4 linked regions of the Styela clava genome follow. The protein of the gene in region 1 purifies or fractionates together with the protein of each later gene. This does not show direct contact. Links are inferred from orthologs where the notes say so. Each region holds a gene or a part of one and is shown on either strand. Other genes may lie near its edges.

What was found.
Region 2: the proteins of uncharacterized protein LOC120346921 (region 1) and serine/threonine-protein kinase PRP4 homolog purify together in Homo sapiens (co-immunoprecipitation; 4 studies listed by BioGRID and IntAct, counting the BioPlex papers as one, with this or other methods). This does not show direct contact. The link is inferred for Styela clava from reciprocal best matches to the Homo sapiens genes ZC3H18 and PRP4K.
Region 3: the proteins of uncharacterized protein LOC120346921 (region 1) and uncharacterized protein LOC120331661 purify together in Homo sapiens (affinity purification with mass spectrometry; 3 studies listed by BioGRID and IntAct, counting the BioPlex papers as one, with this or other methods). This does not show direct contact. The link is inferred for Styela clava from reciprocal best matches to the Homo sapiens genes ZC3H18 and RBBP6.
Region 4: the proteins of uncharacterized protein LOC120346921 (region 1) and uncharacterized protein LOC120334230 purify together in Homo sapiens (affinity purification with mass spectrometry; 3 studies listed by BioGRID and IntAct, counting the BioPlex papers as one, with this or other methods). This does not show direct contact. The link is inferred for Styela clava from reciprocal best matches to the Homo sapiens genes ZC3H18 and FNBP4.

What each region holds. Positions count from the first base shown.
Region 1 is NC_135260.1:18,936,997-18,945,292, reverse strand, and holds the start of uncharacterized protein LOC120346921, read right to left. Parts: upstream 3,181-8,296; 5' UTR 3,097-3,180; coding exon 313-3,096; 3' UTR 1-312.
Region 2 is NC_135256.1:9,398,451-9,406,430, reverse strand, and holds the start of serine/threonine-protein kinase PRP4 homolog, read left to right. Parts: upstream 1-4,924; 5' UTR 4,925-4,980; coding exon 4,981-5,452; intron 5,453-6,144; coding exon 6,145-6,376; intron 6,377-6,578; coding exon 6,579-6,695; intron 6,696-6,979; coding exon 6,980-7,081; intron 7,082-7,869; coding exon 7,870-7,959; intron 7,960-7,980. UniProt on the Homo sapiens protein: Serine/threonine kinase involved in spliceosomal assembly as well as mitosis and signaling regulation. Connects chromatin mediated regulation of transcription and pre-mRNA splicing.
Region 3 is NC_135255.1:12,391,888-12,400,145, forward strand, and holds the start of uncharacterized protein LOC120331661, read left to right. Parts: upstream 1-4,843; 5' UTR 4,844-4,848; coding exon 4,849-5,014; intron 5,015-5,838; coding exon 5,839-5,938; intron 5,939-6,396; coding exon 6,397-6,430; intron 6,431-8,258. Other genes in the region: coatomer subunit epsilon-like, read left to right, coding at 3,104-4,000. UniProt on the Homo sapiens protein: E3 ubiquitin-protein ligase which promotes ubiquitination of YBX1, leading to its degradation by the proteasome.
Region 4 is NC_135264.1:7,026,600-7,034,146, forward strand, and holds the start of uncharacterized protein LOC120334230, read right to left. Parts: upstream 3,101-7,547; 5' UTR 2,989-3,100; coding exon 2,919-2,988; intron 1,847-2,918; coding exon 1,637-1,846; intron 938-1,636; coding exon 807-937; intron 291-806; coding exon 221-290; intron 146-220; coding exon 70-145; intron 1-69.

The sequences.
Region 1 (8,296 bases):
TGCTGAGATTTTGCTGCATATCAGATCAATTCATAGAGAATAAGATCAATGATGTTGGAATCTGGAACCTTGGAAAAAATGAAACCAGTGAGTGATATATATCTGTTTATATACTGCAACAATGACAATGTTCAGTACATTTCATCTCTCTTTCAATGTTTCACACAGGTTCACCACACAGTATAATACATCTGATAGCAGGTATCTCCAAACTCAGACAATCATGGTGGATTCGTCACCAAATAATTGGATTGACATCGTGCTATCTCAGCAAGAACCATTTAAACAAAGGTCATTTGTGTATTATCGCGATCAATTCAGTTTTGCACGTTTTCTTGCAATTGCATCCTCGACTGCCCTTAATTGTTCAAGTAATTCAACTCTCCTATTAGATGGTGGCTTCTTGGTTTGACCTGAAAGTTCAGAAGCAGGGCGTTTCCGATCTTTAGCAATACCTGGTTTATCAATGATTGTCATTTTAACGTCTTTTCGGCCAGGTTTAGATGGAACTGCTACCTTACCTTTTTGAGCAGCAACCTTGGGAACAGTGGGAGGTTTGTTACCACCTGCTGATCCAGTAGACTTGGCAGATTTTTTTGATTTTGTTTTATCTCCATCAGAATCTGAAGAAGATGAACCAGAAGATGAAGTATAACTAGAAGATGAACTGCCGCTACTTCCAGAATCAGAGCCAGAACCGCTTTTGTTTTTACCTCTAGATGGTGATGGAGACGCTGAACTATCCGACCGAGAAAACTCACTACTACTTGAGGATTTTCTCTGTTTCTTGGGCAATGCTTTATCTTTTTTAGCAACAATAGGCTTAATGGTAAGATTAGTAGGTACAGGAAGGGATGCATTGTTGGCAGCATTAGAAAAGTTTTTGGCAACATCAGGTGGAGCCTTGGCCTGTGGAATAATTTGTTTGTCTTTGCTTGACTTAATTTGTGTTACTGGTTTCGTACCAGTGGTATTTTTACCTACAATTTGTGGGGCTTTCTTTTGTGCACCAACAGCGGCATTGCGTTGTTTAGCGGAGGCTAGAATTTTTTTCTTCGACTTTACACCTTTCGAAGGTGCTGGAGATCTACTTGAATGACTGCTATACGAGCTGGAATGTGAGGAACCCGATGATCTTGATGATGATCTGCTGCTTCCTGAAGATGACCTCGATGAATATGATGAATGAGAGGATGAACGGGAAGAAGAACCTGAACTTGACCCTGATGATGATGAAGAAGAATCTTTATTCTTATTTCTTCCTCTAGCTTGAGGCCGGGCACGAGCCCATGGATCCACCCATTGATCACTTCTTACATTAGGGGCCCCGTTTTCAGCTAACTTGAATTCATCTATTTGGAACTTTTCATCTTTGGTCTGGTCACGAGGCGCTTCCCTGCGATCATCATGCAACGGCAAATGCTGGTCTGGTCTTTGCATATCTTTATCAGGACGTCTATCTCGATTTCCATCTCTCTGCTCATCCACGCGATGAATAAATCCTGAATCTTTTGGATGACGATCTTTGCCATAGATGGGTTGATGTGGTGACATTCTCCTCATGTCTGGTGGATAATGGCCAGGTGGTGGTAACCTGTGAGGTGAAGGGGGCCTTCTTTCGTGAGATTTTGGATGTAAAAGATGCTCTGGAGGGGGAAGTCTGTGGTCTTTCCCAGGTGGGTGACGAATTGGGGGTGGTGGACCCCCACGCTGTCTTTCACGATGCATTCTCGCTTGACGACGCATTTCTTCAGGTGTTGGTACAGCATATTCATCCGCTTCAATTTCCTGAAATGGATCGAATCCTTTGTTTGCTGGTCCAAGAGGTTTATGATCTACAAATTCCATATCACGATCCTCATTCAAAGCCAGATTTAGAGATAACACCTCACGTTTTTGAACAAAGTCAGGCTCCTGTACTTTGCGCTGCAAAGCTCTCTTTTTTAATTCCTTTGCATGTCTCAAACCTTTTTCCCAAGCAGTTTCAGCAACTGGAGGGGGCATAAAAGGTGGAGGTTCATTTTCCCATGGTGATCTGTATCCTTGGGGTTGTTGATGAAATTCTGGAATGTCCCTTTGGGTTTGCCTATTGCGTTCATTATCACTGAACATATTATAATTACCTCTGTCATTTACTCCAGGGTGGAGATATCGACAACGGTCACCCCAAGTACAGTTCCCCATTAAAAAAAATCTACAAGGTCTTTTCTGTTCTTGAGGGACATCTTGTGGACCATCTCTAGTCTCTCCTTCTTCAAAATCTTCTCCATCACTTTTAAGTTCACCATCGCTATCACTATCAACTTCACCATCAGATCTTTCTTTTACGGCACGATCAATTACACGAAACGCATCAGTTGACAAATCTGTGTTTTTTATTCTAATATCAGTGTCATCCTCATCATAGTCCAATTGTTCAAGATCATCCGGTCTATTATCATCTATTCCATACCCTCTTGGATCATCATTTACTGATTCTGAACGTTTTATTCCATCACCAGCCGATGTATTTTCTGGTTTCGATTCAATATTTGTTCTAGCAGTTTCATTGATTGCAATATTGTTATTTGTTGTTAAATCATCAGGAACATTATCTTTTTCATCATTTGAATCATCTAGTTCACCCTCTTCAGTTTCAGTAGTGTCCTTAACCATGACCGCACCATCCAAATTCTGTCCATCACTTTCCACTTTAATCGTGTTGTCGATTGGTTTAGATGTTTGATCAGTATCATATGTCATCTTACTAGTTTGATTATCATTATCCGATTTAATTTCATCCTTTACATCAGAAATATCTTGTTCCAATGACCTGCTTGGTTCATCTTTAATTTCAGATAAATTTTCATTTAATTTAGCAACAAAATCAGGTTCTGTTTTCACTGTATCAACATTAGTTTCACTGGAAATGTTAACATTATCTTTCTCATTTGTTTCACTGTTTTTATTAGGTAATCCAGCTTCCACAGGTTCCAGTGATTGATCCCCACTTTCTAGTTTTTCCTCAACATTACTTTCAGTTAACTCACTATCATCATCATTAGAAATAATGGAGGGATTGGCAGATTTATCAGTGATTATTTCACCTTCTTCCATATCACAGGTATAACTGCACAATGTGACAATGTCAGATTTTTAAGAATATCAAGTCCTGCTATATATAACTAAACAATATCAATGTAAAAAATATGAGTTAATTTTATAAATTAAAAACCCAGCAAAAATGATTAGCATTTGTCAAATTAGAGACAACTAAGCTCATCAGTGGGAATACACAGCCATGTTCATCCATAAAAATTTAAGCTCTTAGATAGGGCTGGGAATTTTAGTGAAAATACTTTAACCGGGTAAAATTAACCGGTTAATCGCAGCGTGGAGTTTGACGTAAAAAGATAAAAGTTTAAGGATTGTCACGTCACAATGGCCCCAGAACAAATGTACAATTTTTTTTATTTTACGCGGTGGCGAGGTGTTTTTTTTGACAATGGCAAAAAATATTGTAAATTTAAAGCGTTCGTCACTACTTCTCTAGAATGTCAATATGCTAATATCCCTGCGGCAGAATGCACATTAAATAGACACTCTTGCAACAAAATCGTGAACATTATAAACAACAACTTTTTTCATAATCAGCAAGACTAGTACTTCAATTATTTCCCTACATTTTCATGGTGCTCACCATATAGTGATATCCTTTTGAATTGTACGTCACAGGAAATAAATTTGTGAAAAATCTTACCACTTCATGGCAGCTCCTGCCACGAAATAACCGCGGCAGCTCTCGTCATGATTTCATAGCGCTATTCAGTAATCCGTATTAACAGGATATTCACAAATTGATGTACCAGATTTTAATTGATCATGTGGAATTATATCTACTTAAACCCTACCCCAAATCCATCAAAACTGTATCCATAAGAAAAACGTTCCAACTTACCCAATATTTGTCACCACCTGTTCTTACGGCCCACCTGCCATGGTTACGGCAGCAAAATTTTACATGCAATTGGTTTGGTTTTCAATTTGCTGCCTCGGTAACGCAGCTCGTCATTGGTTTGTGGCAGCTAAAAAGTCAGTCGCCATAGGTTTGGCCGTAGCGGCCATGGTATGGAAATACCGTCATGGTTTTGCGGCAGCTGCAGACGCCACAGAATACCTAAAACTGCACTTGCGTAATAGAGCCCTTCAAACTATACAAACTGCCATCCAAGACGGGCAAACGAGCACCCGAAATTGAACAGTTATCGGCACCAATGCCATTTCGGGCGATTGTACGTATATTCAGATATTAGGCAAGCTCTATGACGTGATTGTGATGTCGTACCGGTAGTGACGTAATTTTTGGATGGCGCAGTCAGATGGGAGTTAGGATTGACATATCAAAAAAATTTTATGCTACGCCCACTAGAAGTATGTTTGGTATGCCTAAACTTGTTTCTGGGGTCTAGCGCAAAACCCCTTTTGGCATGGAAAATAAGTTCAAAACATACAAATTTTCCATCACATACCTGCATACCGGTAGGATTTAGGATCACATAATTATGATGCACAAGTGCCGCCATTATTCACTGGTCATATCAGTCATTCTGTACGGTACCGTACCGGTACCTTAGTTGCAGTAATGCAAATTCATCAACTCAAAAGTCCGAAAATGTTTTGCTTTTCTAGTTTCACTGCAGTACCGGTACCGTACGGTACAGTACTGTTTTATCGTACCCTATATCTAGCTCTACATCTACGATATTTTAGTATTCAGGTCACAAGCTCAGGTACCGTACTGCAGCGTGTAGACGCAGGCCCAGTACCGGTACCGTACCGATAACCCTTACCGGTACCTTGTTACTCCCACCCTTTCTGTATTTTGTACGGTACCGTATCTCAAATTGTCGTCGCCATTCTCGCTAAGACCTTAATAAATATTTTTTTTTTTTTGATAAGAATAGTGACGGGGTGAACAAAATAGATACTGTATTGAATTTTGAACTCGTATATTTTATAACTCCATATATTACGATATAATGCACCTCATGCATTCATGAGGTTTCCAATATCTGGACATGCGAAAAAGCAAGTGCGCCAAGCTTAGTACGACGTCAAAGTGTGTGTGTGTGTGTGTGTGTGTGATAGGGGTCGTAAAGTGCTTACAGCTCAATCAAAGCTTTTTGCACCAGGTCGTGATAGGCTATTTATTTATCTAGGGGAAATTATTTAAAATAATTTCTTTGTTGCTATTAAATGGGTCTACCAGTAGATTCGACAAATTTTAGCACATGAAATAAAATTTTACAATCTGTTAGTAAATATTGAAGCCGAAATGGTACATCATATTCGGCACATAATTTTAGTAAATTGGATCGTTGATTGTTGAAACGTCTGCAGAACAGAATTAAATGAGCAACGGTTTCTTTTACGTGACAAAAAGAGCATAGTCCGTCTTGATGACATCCCAGTTTTTGTAAATGGCTATTTAATCGACAATGTCCCGTCTGTAAACGAAAGAGCATTATTTCGTACTTCCGGTGTAAGTTTGAATATTGAATTATGGGTAGTTCTGGGTGAAACATTTTAAAATGATTTGTATCTTCACTTTGTATATATTCGGTATCCCATTTGCGATGACAAACATCAGACAACAAAGATTTAGCTTCATTTTCTTCAATGTCTATACAAGCAGCAGAGTTTGGAGAAATGGTAGCTTGCTTTGCTAGTAAATCAACACGTTCGTTTCCCAGAATGTCCTTATGCCCGGGGATCCATAAAAAGGTGACTCGTTTCCCCATAGCGATAGTTTGAAAATATGAAGATTTGATGTCAACGACGAATTCATTAGAGGAATCCGTGCAGGCTTCAATAGATTGTAATGCACTTTGGCAATCTGATAAAATAACGGTTTCGTATGCATTGCATTGATCGTTGACCCATTTCAGCGATTGTAGGATTGCATTTAGTTCTGCATTATATGAAGAGCTCAGTTGAGGTAAGGAGTAGCTGTGTTCGACCGATCTCGATGGTACGAAAAAAGCGGATCCACAGCCATTTTCATTTTTTTGATCCGTCTGTGAAAATTATTGAATAGTTTGGATAGTAATGTTCGAGATGTTCCGTCAAAGTCAAACGTACTACATCGCGAGAAACATCTTTTTTCAGAGTTTCAGCTAGGGTAAGATCAACATATGGGCAATCATAGTTCCAGTATGGTAACGATGATGTTATTCTTGGTTTTATTTTAAATTGTTGGAATATTGAGGATTTCGTGAGCATATTGAATGACTTAAATGTGACGGAGTCTGGATATATCTCTTGCCACGAGTCTTTAATTATGGAATGAGCAGGATGATCAATTATGCTGTATGATAATAGATGACATCTATAAGTTAGGCATTTCAGAAGATGTCGGATGTGTAGTGGCATTTCTTCAGATGCCGCTTGCAAAGATTTGATGCTGGAACTTGACATTGAGCCACAACATATCCTTAGACATGATTTTTGAATTTTCATCATTGGATCGAGCCATGTTCGTGGGGCAAAAAAATATGCTTCAAATCCGTATTCAATCAATGAACGAATGAGTGTCCTATATAGTATGAGTAATGGACCTTTGGCAGATCCCCAAGTATTTCCTGAAAGTAAACGTAGTAAATTTATTCTTTTGATACACTTTGTCTGAATATATTCAATATGCTTTTTATAATTAAGAAGCGGGTCGAATATAACAGTGGTTCCCAACCGCTCGTCCGCGGACCGGTGCCGGTCCGTGAAGCATTTTTGCCGGTCCGCGGGAAAATTCATTTTGTTGTTTTTCTACCGTCTCAATCGCTTCACCGAAGTCGAAAAGACGAAGTTACGTTGGTTTATTACGCAATTTCTCTTCCGTCGTCATATAGCTGTTTGATGCGTGTGGGATGGCCCGGCTACGTCTTAGCGCCGAGTAATCACACTTTTGGGTTTTTCGGTTTCGATTCATATCGACAGCGCTCCGTCAAATCTCGCAAGATTCAGAAAACTGGAAATCAGCATGCGTGATTTTTCGTTCTGCATGCTCCAAATAAAAGGTTATGAATATTTCCTTGTTTAAACCAGAAAACTGTCAAGAACAGCATAATATTCCAGAGCTTCACCGTGACACCCAGTAAAATATAAACTTGTTGCGACCCTGCAGGTGGTCACGAGAAGCATAACGAAACCGGGGCCCGCTGGGATATATTCCGGGTGATGCACAGCAGGATTTTTAGCCTGGTGCTAAGTTAGGAACGACTTTATCATTGTAAAACAAATTCATTTTGTTTTGGGCGTCGATCAACTGCAGAGGGATTGGATTGATATGATGAAGCCGATGAAACCTCTACTTCACAGTCCAGATTTATAAAAGAATCATTGTCACAATTCATTCTTGAGCTCTCTTGATAACGAATACCCATTGCTGAGTAACCGAGCAACCAAACAGTTGTTCGAATTTCCAACCAGTTACTTTTAGCATTAATTAAAACGAAGCGAATAAATTGACTGCGAGTGGATGCAGAGCTACGCGTTGCAAATCCTTTTTTTGATGCATCGTTTGCAATCCTGTATTGAAAACGAAACAGTTCTCGCTGGAGTCAATTGGGTTTGTAGTACATGATTTGGCATGTACATGTTTTTTTTATGTGAGATGTGTGCCTTTTTTACGCATAATGCAGCACTGCATTTTGTTACGCAAATATATGCTATTATTTTATGTTACACCCATTTCAATTATTGGCCGGCACATTATTTGATAATTTTTCCTCATGTGAAATGTTTTTAGTTGTATCTTTTTTTTTTTTTCTAAAAGCATAGTAATTGCCCGACATCACGCAAATAAATGTTATTATTTCCTGTTCCACACATTTCAATTTTTGCCGGTCCGCGTGTACATTTTATTTAATTTTACCGGTCCGCCAGGGTAGAAAGGTTGGGAACCATTGGAATATAACACCTAGATATTTGTAATGCATTGACCTTGTTAGTGAGTCCGTACCAATATTTAGACTTAGATGAGGTATTTTTCGTTTCCGTGTAAAAAGAATAAATGTAGATTTAGATATTCGGAAACCCCAGAGTCCGCACCATTTGTGGATTGTATTCAATGACTATTGTATTCTGGGTACAATACATTCAATATTCAAGTCGGTTTCCCAAAATGCAACATCGTCAGCTAAAATACCCATTTCCGAAGTTATTCCTTTTGATATGTTATTAATCATGATAGTAAAGAGCAAAGGGGTTATTACACTACCCTGTACTATGCCATTATCAATTGTTTTGACCGCTGATAAAG
Region 2 (7,980 bases), on another chromosome or scaffold:
CAAGACACTCATTTTTTGGGGCAAAAGAGGTCTTTTTGCCATTTTTCTCATAAATTGACTATCGGGCCATGTTTATGCGATAATAAAAATATCTTCCCCCCATACAAACTTTTTCAAACTTGCTGTATTAACACTTTATTATATGTACTACTACTGGTGTTTTGTAAATGTGGGGCCCATAACTGCAAGACACTCATTTTTTGGGGCAAAAGAGGTCTTTTTGCCATTTTTCTCATAAATTGACTATCGGGCCATGTTTATGCGATAATAAAAATATCTTCCCCCCATACAAACTTTTTCAAACTCGCTGTATTAACACTTTATTATATGTACTACTACTGGTGTTTTGTAAATGTGGGGCCCATAACTGCAAGACACTCATTTTTTGGGGCAAAAGAGGTATTTTGGCCATTTTTCTCATAAATTGACTATCGGGCCATGTTTATGCGATAATAAAAATATCTTCCCCCCATACAAACTTTTTCAAACTCGCTGTATTAACACTTTATTATATGTACTACTACTGGTGTTTTGTAAATGTGGGGCCCATAACTGCAAGACACTCATTTTTTGGTGCAAAAGAGGTCTTTTTGCCATTTCTATCATAAATTGACTATCGGGCCATGTTTATGCGATAATAAAAATATCTTCCCCCCATACAAACTTTTTCAAACTCGCTGTATTAACACTTTATAATATGTACTACTACTGGTCTTGTGTAAATGAGGGGCCCGTAATTGCAAGACACTCATTTTTTGGGGAAAACTAGTTCCTTTTGCCATTTTTTTTCAAAAATTGACTATCGGGCCATGTTTAAGCGATAATAAAAATATCTTCCCCCCATACAAACTTTTTCAAACTCGCAGTATTAACACTTTATTATATGTACTACTACTGGTGTTTTGTAAATGTGGGGCCCATAACTGCAAGACACTCATTTTTTGGGGCAAAAGAGGTCTTTTTGCCATTTTTCTCATAAATTGACTATCGGGCCATGTTTATGCGATAATAAAAATATCTTCCCCCCATACAAACTTTTTCAAACTCGCTGTATTAACACTTTATTATATGTACTACTACTGGTGTTTTGTAAATGTGGGGCCCATAACTGCAAGACACTCATTTTTTGGGGCAAAAGAGGTATTTTGGCCATTTTTCTCATAAATTGACTATCGGGCCATGTTTATGCGATAATAAAAATATCTTCCCCCCATACAAACTTTTTCAAACTCGCTGTATTAACACTTTATTATATGTACTACTACTGGTGTTTTGTAAATGTGGGGCCCATAACTGCAAGACACTCATTTTTTGGTGCAAAAGAGGTCTTTTTGCCATTTCTATCATAAATTGACTATCGGGCCATGTTTATGCGATAATAAAAATATCTTCCCCCCATACAAACTTTTTCAAACTCGCTGTATTAACACTTTATAATATGTACTACTACTGGTCTTGTGTAAATGAGGGGCCCGTAATTGCAAGACACTCATTTTTTGGGGAAAACTAGTTCCTTTTGCCATTTTTTTTCAAAAATTGACTATCGGGCCATGTTTAAGCGATAATAAAAATATCTTCCCCCATACAAACTTTTTCAAACTCGCAGTATTAACACTTTATTATATGTACTACTACTGGTCTTTTGTAAATGTGGGGACCGTAATTACAAGACACTCTTTTTTTGGAGCAAAGAGGTCTTTTTGCCATTTCTATCATAAATTGACAAGCGGGTCATGTTTAAACGAGAATAGAAATATCTTCCCCCCATACAAACTTTTTGAAACTCGTTGTATAAACACTTTATTAAATGTACTACTGTTGTTTATGTATAAATGGAGAGTTATGATTGTAAGACACATCTTTTTGGAGGCAAAGTAGGTCTTTTTACCAATTTTATTAAAAATTGACGACTGGGACAGGTTTAAACGATAGTAAGTATCTCTTCCACCTATCCAATATTTGTCAAACTCGTTGTGTTTACTTCCCATTATAAACACTTATACTTGTCTTTCTTATACTAAGCGGATATATTTGTGAGACACTTATATTTTGGGGAGAACTGTGATTTTTTGGCAATTATTCACAGTTTTTATGATTAATCTGGCAACGCATAAAGCATCAGCTGATTTTGCATCGATGCCTTTTTCGTAAACTCTCGCATCGCTCGATTGAAATCTGAGTTCTGGCAACAGTGATCGGGGCGTTCAAAAACGAGAGAGATGTCTGCTGAGAGATGTCTGCTAGGGTAACTTTGGTTATACTTACCGGTATGCACCCCCTTTGGAAAATTTCAAAAATAGCCTAAATAAATCCCTTTCCTTAAAGAATGCCAAAATATAGGATTAGGACAGGTTAGGGTTGACAAGCAGTCGGTTGATTAACGTTTAGATTAATACGATACAGTAATACAGGTTTCTATCCATGAACTGCCGCTACCTTTACTACTATCTGACTATACCAGCTGCCTAATCCAGTAATCACTAATTTAAGTTAACTTAGTCTATAAAAAAATCTTTTTCGCTCTTTCTGCTCAAGAATTTGGATCAAGTTGATTTCTATAGTCCTGATGCTGATAATCTGTTTCTATCATGTTCCCCCTATTTCAGTATTTGTAAATTACAAAAAAACTTACATTAGATTAGATTAGTTCGTGAAACTCGGAGGGAGGGAGAGAGTTTATTTCTGTATTTGTTTTGTCCACCAGCAAACATATACACACAGACACAACAAAAACATAATTAATAGAAAGCCAAATACTGAAATAGTTCTCGGTACAGACTGGGTGGCAACGATACGACCATGCGGCCATCGTATAGACAGTTACCACTAAATACTGCAATATAAATTTCAATAAACATGAATAAAAAGTGCTTCAGATATCAGGATATAGTTTAACATATCTCAGGTGTCAGGGTGTGTCCAAAAACAACATTAAATTTCCATATAAAGAAAAATAAAATATATTAGTTACATTTAAGTTAAGCGTTAAAAGCTAAATAAAATGCCAGACAAGTTGCACATTTTATCAAGTGGGGCATTGGCCGAATTTGACATTAATATATATTTTTGAGTAAATGGCAGAATTTCAATTGTGTCTGTGTGTGGAATCGATTAATTCAGGGGTGCATGTTCACTAAACACTGTACTTCTAGTTGGCGTGGCAGGAACATAATATTTGCATATGTTATTCCTAACCCACACCTGGTTGCATCATCCAAAAATTATGTCACTACGCTGTCATAGAGCTTGCCAAGGAAAAGCTACAATCGCCTGAAATGGCATCTCTGCCAACGATAACGAACTCGCTAACGCCAGCGAGCTCTCTCATATATCGGGATCTTGATGGCGTTTAGTGAACTAGCCCCACTTCAAGTCTGCTAGTTGTGGAATACACAAAAACATCTTGTGTAAATGTTGAAAGACCTAAGGCAGCATATATACAGATATATAAAGCAGGCCTGCACAACTCAAATTATCACGAGGGCCGCAAGCATAAATCTGAAGGCCCGGCGGGCCGCAAACTTTGCCACATACATATTTCACAAGATGAACTGCAAATCAAAATGATATTGTGAAACAGTTAAATTTAATGAAACACTTTCATTACTGGGGAGCTTTAAAATATGAGGAATCTTATTTTCTTGAGTAAAAACAAGGTGCAGTATTTTTGCATATGAGATGGCAATTACGGTATGTATTTAGTGGTTCATCTACCTTGAAAACTCACCCTTCATTTTCAATATTTCTTTTTTATTAGAATTAGGTATTGCGTGTTGCAGTATAAACTGATTGCAGATAAAAATTATATTCAGGTTCAGTTTTTTAAAATCGTCCCAAATATCTGTATGACAATTTATTTAGTCATAAATACCATTATTAGATATTTCCATTGTAGGCTAGACAAACAATCCATTTAGTAGCAATAGATCTTCCTCTGTTGTACATTTTCGACTGTTAAATTACATTTTTCTACAAAATCTGATCCGATTTATTTGAAATTTTACAGTAAATAGCAATATTTTTTGTGCGAGAATTTCTGCACCATTCATAAATGAAGGAATTGTTTTTCAAGTTCTAAATTCGAATCAAAAGAGAAACTTCAGTTTCATAAACTGCTAGTAAAAAATAATGGGTTATTAATAGGTTGCTAATATGCACTAATGGGTGTGAGATTGTATACCGATATTGTTTTGAGCGTGATTCAGTCTGGATACTGAGATATCGAAATCAGGGTTTCCCAAATTGGGGGGCGAGGGGACGAGAGAGGAATTTTAGAGGTCACGCAGGGCACACCAGTTTCACACAAAGTCTGATATTTATTGAAACTATTGCAAAACATAAATCTCTCGATTTCGAATATGATCGGGGTAGCGGCGCGCTTGCATAACAATGCCGGCTTTGATTGTTAGACACGAGAAGTGGCGTGTTTCTAAATCACCTGTGGGCCGCACAGAAGTATCTAACGGGCCTCATGCGGCCCGCGGGCCGTATGTTGTGCAGGCCTTATATAAAGACATTAAAAAAATCGCTACAGATTAACAAGATAAATTTTGAGGCAAATTGCACAGACATAGTATAGTGGGTGATAATATAATCCAGCAATCTGTCGATTGGACAGAATGAGATGTGTGTCACTTGAGAGGATTTGTAGGAGCGGCGCTCCTACTTATTAAGCGATCCTCGTCAAAAGACCTTCATTCGACAGAGGGCGATATCAATTTATGTAATTTATTACAGCGATCGCAAGATGTTGTACGAGATTTGGGAAAAAACTGAAAATTCTGATTTATAAATTCCATAAAAAATATTTCACGCTGCGTCAGAAGTTATGTCGATCTCGCGTAGATCATTTTTTGCTAACTTCCGAGACTACGTCACTGTTGATTTTGTTTGTGCCAATAAAATCTCTCTCTTAATTTTCAGAATTGAGTTCATATTTAACTTCGAATGTCATACTGGTACTGGTGTCAATAAATAGACATGAAGACGCAGAAATCAAAAATGAAAGAAAGTAGTGATTCTGATTCTTTAGCAGAAGAAATAGCTCCAAAGGTGAAGAAAAGTCATAAACATAAGAAAAAACACAAAAAGAGAGCTTTAGACCATGAAGACCCTGTTGATGGTGTTATAGAAATCAGCGATGATGAAAAATCTTTAAAATCAAAAAAGCATAAACATAAGCATAAAAAAGCAAAGAAACATTCTTCCCGTAAGCGAGAATCATCATCGGAAGCAAGCGATGATGAACAATCGAGTAAAAAGAGAAGAAAAACAAAAAGTTCTGATGAAATTATTGAAGAAAATGGAAAGACTGAACAGAATGCATCTACAACGACTGGTTTTGATGGAGCATTATCAGATTTAGAGCAGCAAAAAGCTTTATTACAGGCTGCTCTCATGAATAATGTAGAAGAAGGAGAGGTTTCTGATGATGTTCAAGCAGATGGAGCAGGTAAATTACATTTTGCAGTAGAGTAATTTAATGTTTTGATCAACTTTTTATCAGTAGATCACACTTCTCCTTTACGAGACAGTCTGGTGGCTCCATATCATCGCAAATCAGTACTGCTCAATATACCGAAAGGACAAGCATTCTAAAATGCCATAAAATAATTTGATTTACAGAACGAAAACAAATTCTACCGTAGTATTCAATAGTTTCTAGCAAAAAACAGTTCACATGAGAGGATTTTGGTCACATGAAGTTTTGCACATGCTGCAATTGATTTATATTATTAACGCAAGAAACATGGCATGGTCTTGCAACTCTCCGCCATGCCAGACATCCTCGTTTCTGAGATAAATAATGTGTTTGTTATAAATATTACAATAAATATTGAAGTCTTGCCGTAGAGCACTCTGCTAAATTTTTTACACTGTTTTGGTTAGATGTTTTATTGTGATTGAACATTTGTCGTGCAGTGTTCAAACCTGTCTTTTCGATGACCATCTTACCATACATTCGACCATCAAACATCCGTTCAGTGATCCATGAATTTGTAGGCGTGTTGTAAATGAATAATCTGTGTTTTTAGTTAATATACACAGCGCAATTGACATTTTCTTGTAGTATTTCATGAATCACAAGCAAAATGATGAAAAACATAGGATTCTCTTTTAAAGCAAAATTGTTGTTTTTGGTAGAAATAGAAGCAAATGGTGAAGAGGAAGCAATACAAGATGATGATGATGAGAAAACTTCTACTAAACCAACAAAAAAGAAGAAAAAGAAAGATAAAAAAGATAAAAAGAAAAAGGAGAAAAAAGAGAAGAAATCAAAATCGCCACCTTCGATTAAAAGGGTTGAGAAACAAGTTGTCTCACCTACCAAACACAGTTCTAATGATGCAAGAGAAACAGAACATTCCAGAGCCAGGTATGAATTGATTTGTTTGGAAATTATTACTTGATTTAAGCTTATTAGTATAGTATGAGTTTCTGCGTATAGTATAGTATCTTGTGATTTTTATCTAGTACAGTTATGACAACTTTGCATCAGGGTATGTGTTACTTTATTACTTCGCATTTCTTCTGTATTCAAGATTCGCAATTCGCATGAGTGTACATATTTTTGTCAGGCATTATGAAGAGAGTCGTGACTCTAGAAATGATCGTTTGCTTGAAAGAAGAGATGATTCTTATGCAAGACGTTCTCATACTCATCACTCAGATAGAGATAGATTACATCGCTCGGGGTAAGTCAGAAATTATTCCAAAATTGGTAAACTTCCCCCTCAAACCCATCCTAGGCACAAGAAATTTATAAACAGGAAAATATCTACTGGTAACAGTTCCAAATAAGCCTCATTTTAATAAGCTATGATTCTATTTCTGACAGTTTCTCTGTAACCATTTCCATGAACATTTTTACTTCAAAGTTTCCCATTTATAAGATGTATGCATTCATATACATATAAATAGTGTGTTGAACTTGCCAAAACAAAAAAAAAATAAACATTTATCTCACTTTTTATTTTAGTGAAACTCGCAGAAGATCGCGTAGTAGATCGAGGGATAAAAGAGATTATCAACATTCGTCATCAAGTAGACCTAGCCATTCGTCATCAAGAAGAAGGTCAAGGTTAGAGCAATAAAATAGTTCCCTGTCATTCATTAATAACCTGTCAGGTTGTGCGCCATTTAGGTACACATACTTCGGGAGCTCCGAATTAAGGATATTAAAAACAATGTCATGGTACTTCAATATCTAAATAATTTAAATTTTTGTTTTTTCGACGCTTATTCATATTTTTTGCTCCGAACAAGCCTTGTACAATCATATACTGATGTTGTATAATATGTAATGAGCTACTATTTTTGGAATCTTAATTCGGCATCACCTATCCAATTTATTATACTCTGGGTGAAGGGGTGGTAATGGAATTTGAACCACTATGAGTGTATTAGAATCAACATAGTTAGGTCTAGCACTTTAACAACCACTCGGTCATCAATCCCTAGCCTATCTATTTAAATTCACGACAGATTGACGTCACATTTTATTATGTTGTGACCAATTCTTTCAATAGGAATTGTCACATTATTTTATATAAACAGTAATTATGTACTTGCTAATATTATTTTGGACGAATATTACCGGTAACTGATTATTCTTTTTTTTCTTCACACTTTATTTTCATTTTTTAGTTGACATGAAAAATTGTCCAAAATAAGTGCAAATGACTGTCTAGTTTTATGGGACATGTGTGTATCCTTCATATTGGTGGCTAACATCGAACAGATCCACTAACTTTGATTCAATAAATGGCCATGTCTTCAATTTAATCAATCAAAATTCCCAAGTACTGCTCATCTAAGGAAAGGATATAAAGAATACATTGCGAAAATTAAACAAATTTAATTTTTCAGGTCACGTCATCGCTCCCGTAGTAGAGACAGGCCCATGCGAAGATCTCGATCTAGAGATAGAGATGGAAGGAGACGAAGAGATGATGACAGGTATATTAATTAAATAAATAC
Region 3 (8,258 bases), on another chromosome or scaffold:
TGTGTTTGGGAACGACAAATTTAATTATTTCGACTTGAGATAAATTTATGAAATAGTAAAACGTGCGTCGTTTAAATAAAAATATTCCTGTTGCATGTCTGATGGGGAAAATTGAGCCTCGCGCCATCTCAATTTCAGCTTGGCTTTTCCGAGCTCCCAGTGATGCACGATTTATCACCCATTTCCTATCGAAGTCTTTCCTGGGCATCCTGGCTGCCGTCTGTCTTCTCGAAGGACAATGCTTGCTCCCCCTGGAGCGTCTGACACAGTTCGCCGCAGAGCATTACCTTTTTCCACTAGAGCTTTGTATTCTCCCCCCTATCTCATTTCTCAAATTACGTTACTGGCCCTTCTTATTAGCATCGATGAACTTTTTCTGCCACTTCTTTAGCCTGCTAATACTATCTTACGACAAATAGCTACAAGTGTTGTTAAATCTTTCCCTTCTTTCCTGATCGGGATATGCTCGCCATTTTTTGAGTTCACCACCTACCTTCAGACCTTGCTTGAGTTGGGCATCACATTTACACATCAGCACAAGATAACACACATTCGCCCCGTACTTTCACTCAAGAGTGCTGCATATATGCCCAAAGTTTTATTTATTGTAGTCTTCTTGTCGGCTTCTTCCAACCAAATGCTGATTCTTGGATTGCCCCGTGCGCGAAATTATCGGCACCTAAGCGGTCCAAGACACCACATGTCCGACTCCGACGTAAGATCATTGAGGTGTATATAACCTCAATGCGTGAGATCGATAGTAACTTTACATTGGATAGGATTTACATATTTATCCCGGGGAGAGGAAAGCCGATAAGACGGCTCAATCATATGGCGAACCACGGCCTCTCGTCTGGTTACCCAGTCCAGGTCGGGTATGGGATTAGTTAGCCAGTTATTTGTTTTCGGAAGGCGTAACCTATCAGCGGTTACGTGAACCACCCTACGGCGGCGAGGAGTCCAGCAATCCTCTTGCACATGATCATCCCCGCATGAGATTCGAACCTGCGATCCCACGAAGGCTAATCAGATGCGGTGGCGAGCGTATTCCTAACGCTTAGCACGATGTGCCACACTGCCGAGCCACCGTAGACCGCCGCCTCAGAACATCTGGTTCTACGCGGAAAATGTTACTGCTTTCTTGAACTCTTTGTCAAAAATTCAATCTATTTTGTTAAAAATTCTTTAATTAAATAATTGAAAAATATACATTTTATTATAAAATTTAACAATTAGAGGTATGGTGATCATCAGAATACCGAAAACAATTCATCTAACATTTCTCCGTGTAGTTTCGAATTTTCTATAAGTGGTGACGACATTCTAGTCTCAAAGCAGTGCAGCGAACTTCAATCGTCATGGAATGTTTCGTGTCGTTCTTTATTTCTGTATTTTTGTAATATTGGGGTCGTACCCGGTTTCTCATTTTCCGCAATGGAAATAGTTCTGTCAACAATAGTAGAATAACGCAGTGTTTATTTCATAAATATAGATCTATCAGTGACTGCCGGGGTGATTTATTGAATTTTTAACAGACAGACACCGGTCTAACGTTACGGCTGTACGGTGACTCAAGTTTTAACATTGCCTTTGTACAGTCTGATAGTACCGGTACAGTAGTCAGGTAGTAGTAATAAAAAAATGAAACAATCTCTTTAACTATAGTTATCAGTTCGAATATTCGTATCAGGTATAGCGTTTTGAAATACTGGAATACAGAAGTAGGGTGGTGTAGCCAGTCCGCGGACGATTTCATTCAAACCGCTATAAAACAAAAACCAATATTTCTAACCGTTAATTTTTCACCGTAGGTGCATTGGCATGTATTCTACGCGCTAAACCTCGAATTAACTTTCTACGACCAGGGGTTAGAAATATTGGTTTTTGTTTTATAGCGGTTTGAATGAAATCGTCCGCAGACTGGCTACACCACCCTATTTGCGACCGAACGACCAGTGTGCGATCACAAATTTCAAGCTTTGAACATCGTTTCTGCTGCGTCGAGACTAGAGCATGCGCAGCCATGCGTGAAAAAATTGGGCTTCTAATTGCATTTCTGACCGTCATATATTTTAAGAACACGGTCATTTCGAACAAAACTCGTCAAATTATATACAAAGCACCACATCACAGCAATCAAACAGACAAACACACGGTGGTCGAAAATTGGTCGACAAAGATATTATCGACGTATTCGAAATGTGCACCTCCCTATTCCCCCTCCCAATCAAACAGACAAAAACACGGTGGTCGCAAATTGGTCGACAAAGATATTATTGACCTATTTGAAATGTGCACCCCCCTATTCCCCCTCCTTTAAATGTAGAAACGCAAATATTTAAAAGATGGTTAAATAAAACACAACTCTACCCCCTTGCCAAGTTTCATTTTTTATCTCTTATATTTGTATGGATTTTCAAGTTTCATTAATGGGACAATGGGTAGTTGGCGACATGAAAAAATGGTCTGTTTTTATCGTCGGTCAGGTTTTCGGTCGTAGCTTTTCTGTTTGTGGCCGTATTTTAGTGTAATATCGCAGAGACAAGTGGACAATAATGCGTGACGAATATCGTCGCGGTTCTTTAATTTTTTCGGCATCAATTAGATCGATGAAGTTGATGGCCGCAAATAGGTCGTGGCCGCGAAGTGGGTAAGCCACCCTAAACTTCTGAACTTGGTTCTGTGATTTTACATAATTCCGAAACCTGTCAACATTTAGTCTACATCTTTTTATTATTAAACCTGTGTAAACCCCATTCACTAGACCGTCTGGGCTTCCAAACTGAACAAACTCGCACTGCACAAAAATGAAAAGAAAGTGCAATCTGAAAACGTCACAATTGGATTTCTTGAAATTTTTTTTCTGTAGCATTCGAGAGTTTATAGCAAAAAACACATGTGGTGGCCGCGATTAGTTTAGATTATTATCGAGACAAGCATGGCACAATTCCACGCATCTGCTGTCGTGCCAGATGCCCTCATTTAAGAGACAAATACAGTTTTTTATTTTATTATGAAATTTCCATATCTTATCACTTCTTTCTGTACAGACATTAAATGGTTTAATTATTATAGCTACTTATTCTTAATAGAAAAACTTGAAATGTCTCAACAATCTGAAGTCGATGAACTTTTTGATGTCAAAAATGCGTTCTATCTTGGTTTGTATCAACAATGTATCAATGAGGCACAAAAGGCTAAAGTGAGTAGCCAAGTAAAAAAGAATGAGCGAGATGTATTTATGTATCGTGCATACATTGCTCAGAAAAAGTTTGGAGTCGTTTTAGATGAAATTTCGAGTCTGGGATCATCGGAACTTCAAGCTGTTAAACTTCTCGCTCAGTATTTAGCTGACTCATCAAACAAGGACCAAGTTTTGAAAGAAGTTGAAAATAAACTTTCTGGGAATATTGACATTGAAAACACCGTTTTACCACTAATTGCTGCAAGTATATATTCACACGAAGAAAACTTTGACTCCGCCTTGCGAATCCTTCACAGTGCTGAATCATTGGAGTGCTCTGCTCTTTCGATTCAAATTTACATTGCGATAAACAGGCTCGATCTTGCAAAAAAAGAACTCAAACGAATGCAAGAAACTGATGAAGATTCAACCTTGACTCAACTTGCACAGGCGTGGTTTAATATCTCTGTAGGAGGGGAAAAACTACAAGATGCTTATTATATTTTTCAAGAAATGGCAGACAAGAATCAAAGTAGCACGTTACTGCTCAATGGTCAAGCTGTGTGCTTCATAGCTCAAGGAAAATGGGACGAAGCGGAAGGTGTTTTACAGCAAGCAATGGATAAAGACAGCAACTGTGCTGAAACTCTAATAAATATGATAGTGCTTTCGCAACAGATTGGAAAACCACCTGAAGTTACCAATCGTTATCTGTCGCAACTGAAAGATTCTCATGGGAAGCACAAATTTGTCAAAGATTTCAATACAAAAGAAAATGACTTTGATCGTTTGGCAATGCAATATGCTCCTGCTTGATAGTTCAATCTGATAAGACATTGCAATAATACAAAAATAGAAAATTAGAAAATATATTTAAATATTTCAAATATCTTGATGTCAGGCAAAGTTTACACCTCATGATTTTCATGTTCCGAGCAGATTTACTAAGGAAAAAGTTCTGAAATAATTCCTTTTGGTGTGGGTTATTGAATGTATATGCCCATTTTTTAGATAATTTTTGAAATTTGATATTAAAGAAGTGCATATATTTACCATTTACTAATCTTGGGAATTAATCACTATTATACTATTTAAATTGAGATGTGTTGGCTCTATGTAGCACTGATGATGAAAAATAACGCTTTTAATTTGCATTATTTTTTGATTTTCAATCATTTTTTTTGGATAAAAAAGTTAGGTGTGTCATCCTAGTATTTTGTGCCTCGATCAGAGTATGCTCACTAAGCAAGCCAATGATGAATAGACCTGGTTAGTCTAGAAGCCCACCATCTTGTAATATGTTGGCTTTAGATGTGCTAAAATATTCTAGCCATTCTTTAATTTGGAGTTGAGACCTTACTATTTGTGTGTGAATGCTTTGCCAAAGCCTCATTGAGAGCAATGCTATAAAATATCACATAAAAAGTTTAAATTTTTTTAAATTAAAATATGAAATGACTGGACTTGATTTGGTAGTAGCCTAAGTAATGTATTTGCATTATTTCATGATATGGATGATGGGTGCTTATCATATCTGTATATTTGTTGCCTGGTATATATAATAACATGTATAATATTGTCTTTAGAATACATGGAATAAATCGAATACCATTTATACCGATTGATTTTTGTATTGGGTAATAGAAACTGAATTTAGCATCGATATGTCAGCGATCCACTATAAGTTCTCAAGCAGCAATGATTACAAGAATGTTACGTTTGATGGAATCAACATTTCACTCCAAGATTGTAAGAAAGCAATAATGTTAAAAGAAAAATTGAAGATGACGGAAGTTGATTTGCTAATTACGAATGCTCAGTCTCTACAAGGTAAGCTTGACTCTTTATACTTAAATTTTATTCACATTGTGCGAATTCTAATGATAAATTACCTAATGATAGAACTAAAATGGAAAATTATGCTGATAAAAGCTATTTGCAAACATGTCATCGAAATTTGGTATTTGAGTGTTTACTTCTAACCTGCATTGGTGAGTTATAAATATATAAGAGCTTCGACCAATTGTGGTGAGCTGATGGTTTCCAACTTGCTCATGTGCGTCATTCCGAAGTATTTGAGTGTTTAATTCTGATCTGACTTAGTGAGTGTGGGTGCAATGGATTAAATGTGATGAGCCAGTGGTACTTGACGACTTTTTGTTTGAATTAAATTCGACATTCAATTAATAACCTTTAACAAATGATAATTTAATGCAGTGATGTAGTTGCATGATATGTTTGTGAGGTAGCAAAATTATAAAATATTAAAATTTTTATTCAAAATTTTTAAAACTGATATACTTCCGAAGTATGTGTTATAATTTTGAGTTGTTGATGTGATGATAAAATACAAATACAGTTATGAAATTTTGCAAAACATTTTTAATATTTCACTGATAACATCTTATTGAATATTCTAAATGTCTATATAAATGTGTCATATACAGTAATATTATCTAGTAGGCTACATTGGGTATGTAGAATATTTCATATATTCAATTTTATTTCATTTGAATAATCTCTTTTACCTCTACTTAAAATTTTACAGTAATTTAATGATGCCTTTGTTACTTCCTGGAAACTGTTGTCAGGTATCCATCAGCAAATCATCGATGTACAGTATATATATATATGTAAAATTCATGTATTTTTAGATTATAAAGATGAGTCAGCGTTGATACCAAAGAACACTGCATTGCTCGTTAGAAGAATTCCATTAGGTGCTGTACCTGACAAAACAAAGGTTTATGTTGTGTAAGTGTCAACTAACATTACTTACCGGTATATACATATTTTCTTATGAATGAATAAATATTGTTCCTATCTAGTGGTAATTTTTTTAAGTAGCAAGTTTAGTTTGTTTAGTATTGCTATTATGGAGTATAAAATTCATTAGCATGTGATATAGTTTCAACCTCACGTTTTTCAGTTATTGCAATAGATAGTAATTTAGTTTTTGGTCAATGGCATGCCAACACTATCACAAACAGGTGGTGGCATTAGTTTTCTTATAAGAGGTAATTTGTATGCAGCTTTTTGATTTCTTAAGTTTCAGGAATGCGTGCTGCATTTATTATATGATTTAGTCAAATTAAGAATAATCAATGCAATTTCTCATGCCTCAAGGATAATTATATGAATTAAAAAAACAAACAGTTATAAATCAATTATGTAATATGGTCCTTATTTAAATATTAATTTATTGTTTTCAGGAAGAAGAATGAGACTGCTGCATCTTCTAAATCCGTACGTAATTTATTGTTGTGTGAAAAACACTTATTACTTTTGATACCTTTCTATACAGCATTGGCAAAGCAACAGTTATTGAAATTTTAATTTACAAAAATTATAAAAAAGTTTTTCTTGTTTTTCTTATAAAGTTATGGTTAAGTTACAGTGAAATCTGTGCTTTGCTGATGCAGTATATTCTCGCTTTTCTTGAACACTTCTATTTCTACACAGTGTTGTATTTTTTGATATATTTTTTATTACTATTTATATATTTTTTTCTATTTCTTCTATTAAACTGTGATAATGGTTCTATGCAACAATGCAAAATTTTGGTATCATGCAATTTTAATGTTGTGTTTTTTCTTTTATTATTGTTATTTTATTACTAAATATGCATTGGTTAACTTAAATCTATACACGCTTCGCGAAAAAACAAGGACAGGCTAGTTTTGAGTTTGATACAGAATGGACTTGAACTGAACATATCAGAGTTAGGTTAGATAGATCGGTTGCGCAAGATATAAGAAGCTGTCGCAAAATATAAGAACGTCTTATTCATCATGTGCCTGACTTCTACATGCTCCTGAAAGACTGGTGATAAGCTATTGCTAATATGCAAATATGCCGAAAATAAATCAATGAAACTGATTTATATCATCTGATTTGCATTGACACTATGCTCAAAAGAGATACACTGAAACAATGTTGTGATTGTTCCGATTTTAATTCATTTTATTCACAATTTACGGTTACATTTAACTTTTTTCTGCAGCATTATGTTTGATTGTTGTACAGTTCCATGATTCTGAATTGTTTGATTAAAATTTCTATTATAGTTCTAGCGAGCTTACAATTTGTGTGGTAGCATCACTAGCATGCATAGACAATTATGAATGAATCAAACACAATACAATACCAGTAGCACCAATGTTGAAAACTAATTCACAGTACTTTTGAACTCACTTTTTCTGCCATGCTAATTTGAAAAAACATTAATTGAGATGTCCCATACATGAATGAATATACCTTTTCTAGAATCTTGTATTTTTAATTTGATTATGGCAGGAGTTTATTCCATGATTTGACAAATCTTTCCATGAGGATGAATGTTTCTAAATAGGACAATGATTGTCACACAAAATTTAGTCTTCAGAAAGTTTTAAAAAAATGTAGTTCCATAGATTCCCCTGGCAATCTATTTTAAATGTCTACTGTATGTGTCTATCAATATCTGTTCTGTTTGTTATTTATAGAACAGCACTAACATTTCCTGTTTTGTTCATATGTGCGTTGTATATATAAATGGAAAGAAACGTTTCAAAACCGTAATGCTTTATCCACATCTATCTTAGTGATTGACAAACTCAAAATTCTTTTTCATCTTGTCTGATTTCAAAGTTATTTGCAAACTTATTTTGTAGTAAAACTAGTTAGTATTTATGTTAGTAGTAATTATCTTTATTCATTAGATTATTTTATGTTGACTATATGACTATTGACTTAGAAACTATGTGGTATATTTCGATTGAAATTTGGGCTTCCAGAGCAACTTCAATTCCTCTCATGTCAGCGTTAAGTTATGGAGATTATTTTCAAGTACAGTATACTGTTTCAAATACTTTTGTTAGACATACGGTGATAGGTGGTTTAATACCTGTTTGATTTTATCAATGAAAAGAATTTTATTTATCTATTATTAATTCCTACATTCCTATAAATTGTACATTCCTTGACTTTTTGTTGAGGAATTCATAAATTTTAGCAATACTGCATCATAAATAAGTAGTAGATAGCCCTTCTATTTTTCATTATTTCTAAATCATTTGTTTCAATTAGGATTTTA
Region 4 (7,547 bases), on another chromosome or scaffold:
TTCAAAACAAGCATAATATACAAATTAATAAGACTCTTAAAAAAAATTCCTAAAAAAGTCAACTCATACTTTTGTACAGCAATTGATGATTCAATTTTAGCTTGATTTTTCACATCGGTTGTTTCTTGATCATTCTTGTTATGGTCTAAAATATAAGACATCGATGTTATTTCAAATTCAACTTTTAAACTCTAAAACAATTTAAAAAAATAGAAACCACCTTCAGATTCTTCATTTATATTGATGTCTTTCACTGCTGTCGTATCAGTCTCAACGTGTGCTTGAGGTACCTGTAAATTTTTTAATTCATATTTATTAAATACACTCATAAACATAAAAGATGAGAATAAATGTGGTAGCGTTTTATTAAAATACCTAAACCAATAACATGACTTTGATAAAAATTGTAGTTCAACATTTCATTTTCTAAAGAGCAACAGTAATTTGATAATAAAAGAAACATATTGAAGCCTAGCATAACATCCGAGTGACCGAGAGTGTCAGGCCCCAACCATATGCCCAGGATTTATTGAATCGTGTAGGTAAGGCCGAATCCTAAGAATTCTGGGCCTAAGTAATAGTAAAGGGAAATAGAAGAACTTTAAATATTAGGAGTTCTTGGTTTGAAATATTGGTGTGTAGTGTATGCATCATCATCTATTAATTTTAGAGCAATTGGTAATTCGTCCAAATTTTGAAGTTAATGTTAGTCAATCTTATTAGAACAAAATTTAAATGTTGAATTGTAGAATCAATTTCCCTCAAGCCTAACAAACTAGAATTATCGAAGAAGCTTCAGTAACAACCTGAGAAACAGCTTCTAATTGTTTTGAGATTTCTTCTGGTAATACCCATGTAACTTCATTAGTCTCAGTATTCCAGTAGTATGGGTGTTGAGTGTTCTCATCAATGCATTGTTGCCAGCTTCCATAGGAAACTAAATACAAAATTAACAACTAAGGTACCGCCAAGAATAGGCAATGAATAGTAAAAGTGACCCCTATGATAAAGGTATGACTCAGTTGTACGTCAATGTTATTGATGTTGATATGCCCAATTAAAGGCAATTGTTGTTACAGATAAATATTGTATTCAAGCCCTCATCTTTATGAACTGTGACATGAATTTATCAAAATTAAGACACAACTAAAAAAAATTACAAATTTGGATGAAAACTAACTATTGTAATATTTAATATAAATCTCATTTGTATTCGATCGTTTCACCCACTCATGTGGCGCACAATGTGGCGCATTGTGCCAAGCACTAGGAATACGCTTGCCATTGCACCTCTGATTACCATGCTTGGGTTCGCAGGTTCGAATCCTGTGGGGAATAACAATGTGCAAGAGGATTGCGGGACTCCCCACCACTTGCGAGAAGTCACATAACTATAACTACTGATCGGTTACGACTTCCTCAACCATCAAGTCCAAGCATCTGAGAACTAATGGTGGACAACAGACTGTGATTCGACATATGATTAAGCTGTCTTATCCTCTTTTCCCTCTCTGTGATAAATATGTAAATCCTATCTTATTCTATAAATCCTATACTACCTAATGAACAAATTAATTAGATAATCAATTCAATTTGAAGAGGCAACAATTTTTGAAAACACTAAAATTATATTTACTTTGCTGCGACTGCACTGCTTGTGTATCTTGTTCCTTTGTGTCACCTGCTTCAAGCTCATCAATTTCCTTCAAAAAATCCGCAACTTTAGAATCAAGATTATGGATTGCCTGTGTTAAATTATTTTGTACGAGAGATGGTGAGTCAATCTTCTTTTCATCATTGTCACCATGAGAACCACGCAAACCGAGTCCTTCATTTTCAGGTACATCTAAAGAAGAAATTAAAATCATCTATCATGTTCTATCTGTATCATAATATAATTTAAATGTTTGTGCTTTGTTTTCTATTTTAAGACCAGGGACAGAAAAGAAAATAGCACACAAGCATTGCTTGCGGGTGGCCTCAAGCAAAAACAGAAAGAGGAATGCGCAATCACAGAAATACTCACCCAAGATCAAAATAACCCTTGATTTTATGCTGCAGAAAAATAGTGACATGCATGTTCTGCAAGAGACAGCGTTAGTTGTCAATCAATGAACTGTCAGACTGCTGGACTGTATACACGGAATATCAAAATGGACTCGAAGCGATCAGTGTTTAATTTTTTGCATTGTTTATATAAGTTATATACGGTATCTGTAAATACCCATAAGTACTGGTATAAACTTATGCTGCTCAGAAATACTGAAATATCTGAGTGCCAATTCTGCAATTACTGAATTACGATACCAGGATACAGAATTAATGGATTTAGGATAGGATTTTACATATTTATCCCGGGGGAGAGGAAAGACCATAAGACGGCATATCCATATGGCGAACCACGGCCTCTCGTCCGGTTACCATTCCAAGTCGGGTATGGGATTAGTTTTTTTTTTTTTTTTGGAAGCATGGACTTGGTCTGTTGGTAGTGGAGGAAGCCGTAACCGACCAGCGGTTACGTGAACCACCCAACGACGGCGAGGAGTCCAGCAATCCTCTCGCACATAACCATCCCTGCATGGGATTCGAACCTGCGAACCCATGCAGAGTAATTAGAGGTGCGGTGACGAGCGTATTCCTAACGCTTAGCCCGTTGAGCCACACCACCGCGCCTATCGTACGGTAGGCTACCGTACCGCAATGCTACCGTACCGGTACCGGTACCCTTATATTCAATCTCAGGATACACAACTGCATGAATAAAATCTAACACAAAACTACAAATAAGATTATCCGAATACAGAAATATGTGAATTCTATCCTATTCCAGAATTCATGAAGCTATGTTAAAGTAATTTCAAAATTTGCACGGTAACACCGAACATTACCATACATTAATTAATTCGAAAATTACTCACTTTTTTGATAAAGTGTGCTCCTGTTCAGAACACCTCCTCCAATTCGTAACGCAGGTTTTCTCCTGCTCATGTTATTGATCCAATGTACCGTATTAAATCCCCGACATAAAACGTCGGTTCCTACTACAGCACTGACAGTAATATCACAGAAGCGGGCTAATGTCAGATCATGGTTGTACTTGAAATATAGTTAGCTCAATGCTGTTCCGCTACGCCTGAATGCGACTGCACTACGTCATCGTTTTCCTATATCTTGGAACGCAGAGGAGCGGCCTCTGTCTGATATTTATGTGTAATTTTTGATTGATTTTATGAGCAGAAACAACTAGAAAGATGCTCTAAGCACTTGCATAGTCATTTTGTCAATCTTGACCAAACTCATGGAATTATTTTAGGATATGGCGTCATATCTGTGCCCGCACTAGGAAGCATTAGCATGGTGATTGCAGTTAGAGGGTGGATATTTTAAGTCTCTAACATTATAGTTCAATAATAGAAATTTACTTCTACTCGGGGCCTACAGAAGTGTCGATACTTTAAGTTTCAAACGTATCAAGTCTGTCGACAATTCTAGCATACTGAACTGCAGGGCTGATGCGCCAGATAAGATTTAATAAATATAAATATAAAAATCCTATTATGCCCAAACGTCTATCATGAGTATGATCGAGTGGAGCAATGAAACAGATAATTTTTTCCACTGGTAGGCTTACAGTAAAGTTTCTATAGTATGAAATATTATTGACCGAGAGTCAGAATTTTGATTGCTAAATTACCCTTGTACCATATTATTTCTGTATCTAAATAATATGAATCCAGATTGTTTTCTTTGAAATTGTTCCGATACTAAAAGGGCTTCAGTCGCAGCAAATATCAGACGCGTGTTATTTGTCATATACAATGGAAAAAGAAAGTCAATTTTGCTCGTGTGTTCATCACCTAAATTTCTGTTTTTCATTTAGCATACTTTTACTTAAATTTTGCGAAGGCCAGTAAAAATCCCAACAAAATTCGGTTTAGTATAGTAGCGACATATGTTGTTACTAGTCAATACTTCAGAAAATTTGTAATTCACTGTGGAAACTAATGTTACAACGAATTGGCAGAAGAACAAATCATATCCTATGTGGCTCGTCTCTCAAGGTACGTATGTCATCATACACACTCTTGTCACATATACATCATCATTCCCCGCTGGGATACCGTACGTACATATCTCAAGAGACGACATCCTAACTTTTGTACTTGTAGGGTTCGTGCACGAGAGAACCCCCAATTCAGAACGCCATCAATATTTGTTAAACATAACCCGTTTAAAATCAGTTTTTAAAAATTTTTCAATTTTTCCATGATATCCTCAGTGTATTTTCTGATTTTACCAGTAAAACAAGAGAGTTATGCTCAAATATATAGACACAAAAGCCAAAACGAAGAGGCAAACAAAAAACATTGCCGGTGGTGTTGAAATGTCTTTGATCAATAAATAGTAGCATATGCTACCCATCTTTCTCTCATCACCAAATGTGAAGAGTTATGGGTGGAAGTACCTGTTCGTATTGAAAAGTCAACTTTAATTATTATGGGTGTAGTATATCTCCATCCTGGTTTTGATCAATTGAAATTTTATAATGCCTCAGCAATACTTTGTACAATTTGGCATTTAACAACAAAAATATAGAATATTAGGTGACGCTAACATTAATTTATTGAGCTCCCCCTCCGTTTTATTGACATGCGTTAATGGTACGTTACGTTAGGGGTACGTTGGGACATGGGGCACAGTGGAAAATCAGCTATCACACTGATACTATATCCGCAATCCTGTCCGCGGCTCAATGTTCCAATCCGCCCTTCGGTGAGTTACAACGTCCCCGCGAACGGACAACGGACGGGTAGAGCGGCGCAAGCTATGGGGTGAAATTGGTTTTGGGAGGTTGAAAAAAAAATTTCACCGTTCCAGTTTTTTCTTTTTTTTAGTTTAGCCTTTCCAACGAGACAAACCATCGTCTGATATTCTTTAGCGGCAGTCCACTGTAAAATATTCCTAACGTTAGCGAGTGGCTGTGCCTTCCGAATTTTGCCGTGGGATGGTCTGAAAATATTTGTTTCCTATGGGGAACAATGGACCGGGGTTCAGTGGGACATGCTCTACAGGGCACAATTCGACAGTGTTTGATACAATAAGTGCTTAGAGACTTAGAGATGCGTTATATTTTGTGTAATATAATGGTTTCTTTCGACCCATGGCCCAATATGGAATATATTCGAGAATCAATAATATTTCCAGATTTAGATTCGAGGAAGGAAATAATCAAATTTTTTTGCAAAATGTTTTGTCAAAAAATCTGAACTATTTCAGTTGAACATTGATTTTAAAAATATTAAATCTTCAAATCCGAAGTCTCCCCGTACTTTAGACGATTATGCTGATTAATTGCTTATTTTTAAGAACATACTTCGTTGAATTGTGACAGACTGACCCATTGTGCCCCAGGGTCTGTCCGATTGTGCCCCACAAGTGGGGTACAGTGGGACACTTGACAGACGTTTTTCAAAGCATTTTGGTGGTAAGATGTATGTCGCAAGGGAATTTCTTTGTTGCTGAATAAAAACTACATTTACCCCTCTATGCATTAGTCCCGCAAACTTAAGAGAATATGCAGAACTAACGGCTCAAAATATGCAAAAGAAAAAAAGTGTCCCAACCTTCCCCACTTTCCCCTATGTTCTATTATATCCGAAACGATAATTTTGCCAATTGTGTGGCAGAATTGTATGATCGACCATCACCCTGTATTTTGTCAATTCCAACTCAATCTTGCATTACCTCATTATATCGATAAAATAAAAATAAAAAGGATATGAGATACTTTGTTGTGGACGAATTTGTTAGGAAAGCCCAATAATTTTTCTATTCATATGAGATACCCAGTAGTATTTGTGCTGGAAATTTAAATTCATATTCTGATTATTTTGGCTCTGAAGTTCTAGATGGCTCGAAAAAAAGCGCCAACTTAGAAAAAACCTTGAATCCCTCCTGGTATTCTACGATCAACCAGTCTAAGAGATAAATTGAACAAAATTCACTTTAGTAATGGTACTGAACAACAAAATCATTTTTGTAAGTGATACGCTAACAAATTATGTCATTTGAAAGATCCAAGGAAACGTTTTTGCTGAATGTTATAAAAAAGTATAAATAACTCCTAAAAGACCTGGAATACTGTTAATTCGCTAATAAATTCGGAATCTGACAAACAGATCCCCTAAAGACTAAAAACAATCCTAATTCAGGGATGATTGTGCGTGATAGTAGGGAAATGTCACCACTATTCAATAGTTACTTCTCACAGATTGGGCAAAATTTGTCCACGGCATTCCAAATGTTAATGATAACGAACATCTTGGAAACATGGGTACTCCAAATATATCATCTATGTTTATCGAAGAGTGCTCAGTGACCGAAATAAAGAATATCGTAAATTCTCAAAAACGATTGAAGCTCCGAGGTATGACCATATACTTATCTTCTCAAACTTTTCAGTAGTACAATAAGTCATGTTCCCTGCGAACTATTTATTTATCCTATGTGCTTTGAAGGGTTCCCAGATCATCCTAAAGTGGCAAAGGTTGTTCCGGTGCACAAGGCTGCGTTTCTTGATAAAGACTTTATTATAAATTGTCATCATTCTACAAACATGCAATCATATTATTAGTAAATATTATGAAATTGCAGATAAGGGATTGGTAGGCTGTATATCAAAAATGTGTCGCTGACTGGATGACTCACCGAGTCTTTCGCGACCCCTCATCAATTGCTAGATTTAATGTCTTTCGTTTTTTTGTTATTTTTATGTGTGTTTATTATTTTGCATTGTTTCTTGCACGATGAAAATAAATATCTGAATCTGAATCTAGATCTAAAAGAGCGTTCGATACGGTTGATCATATTATATATATATATGTATATGAGCAAACTAAAACGTTGGGGAGTTTGTGGCATATGCGTAATGAATAAATTGTCGTCAACCTTCATCTGTAGGCGTCCCGCCCTGTTCAGTGCTTGGCCCAACACTGCTTCTAGTCTATATCAACAATGTAGTAAGTTCCACCTCAGCTTTTATAAAACTCTTCGCTGATAATACTAGCACAACCTCCATAACTTCGAATGTAACTCAAATATCCAGCCTAGTTGTACAAATTAGGAGAGTCTCGCAGTTTGGGTGAAATCTAATAAACTCAAGTAATGTTAAATAATTATCTCACTGATAAGATAAACAATTCTTCACCCATCCTCAATTTTACATTCAATGGCACCAAATTAAAGATTCATGATTTTTTTTTAAATATATTGGGGTGGTCTATTTATCGATAATATAATATAAAGGTGGGATCATCACATCAACTAAATTGGAGTTGTCAAGGGCCGTAGGAATCACGACAAGGCTAAATAAATTTATTCCTAAAAACGTCATGCAAACTGTGTATTTTTCTCATTTTTAGGTCGAATTGCAGTAGGCTATGGAATAGGCGTTTATAAGCGTATAAATATTTTAAAATTATATGATGTTTATATTTATGAAGTTGCCAAATTGATGTTTAAATTCAGGCATAGGACATGTTGTCAGA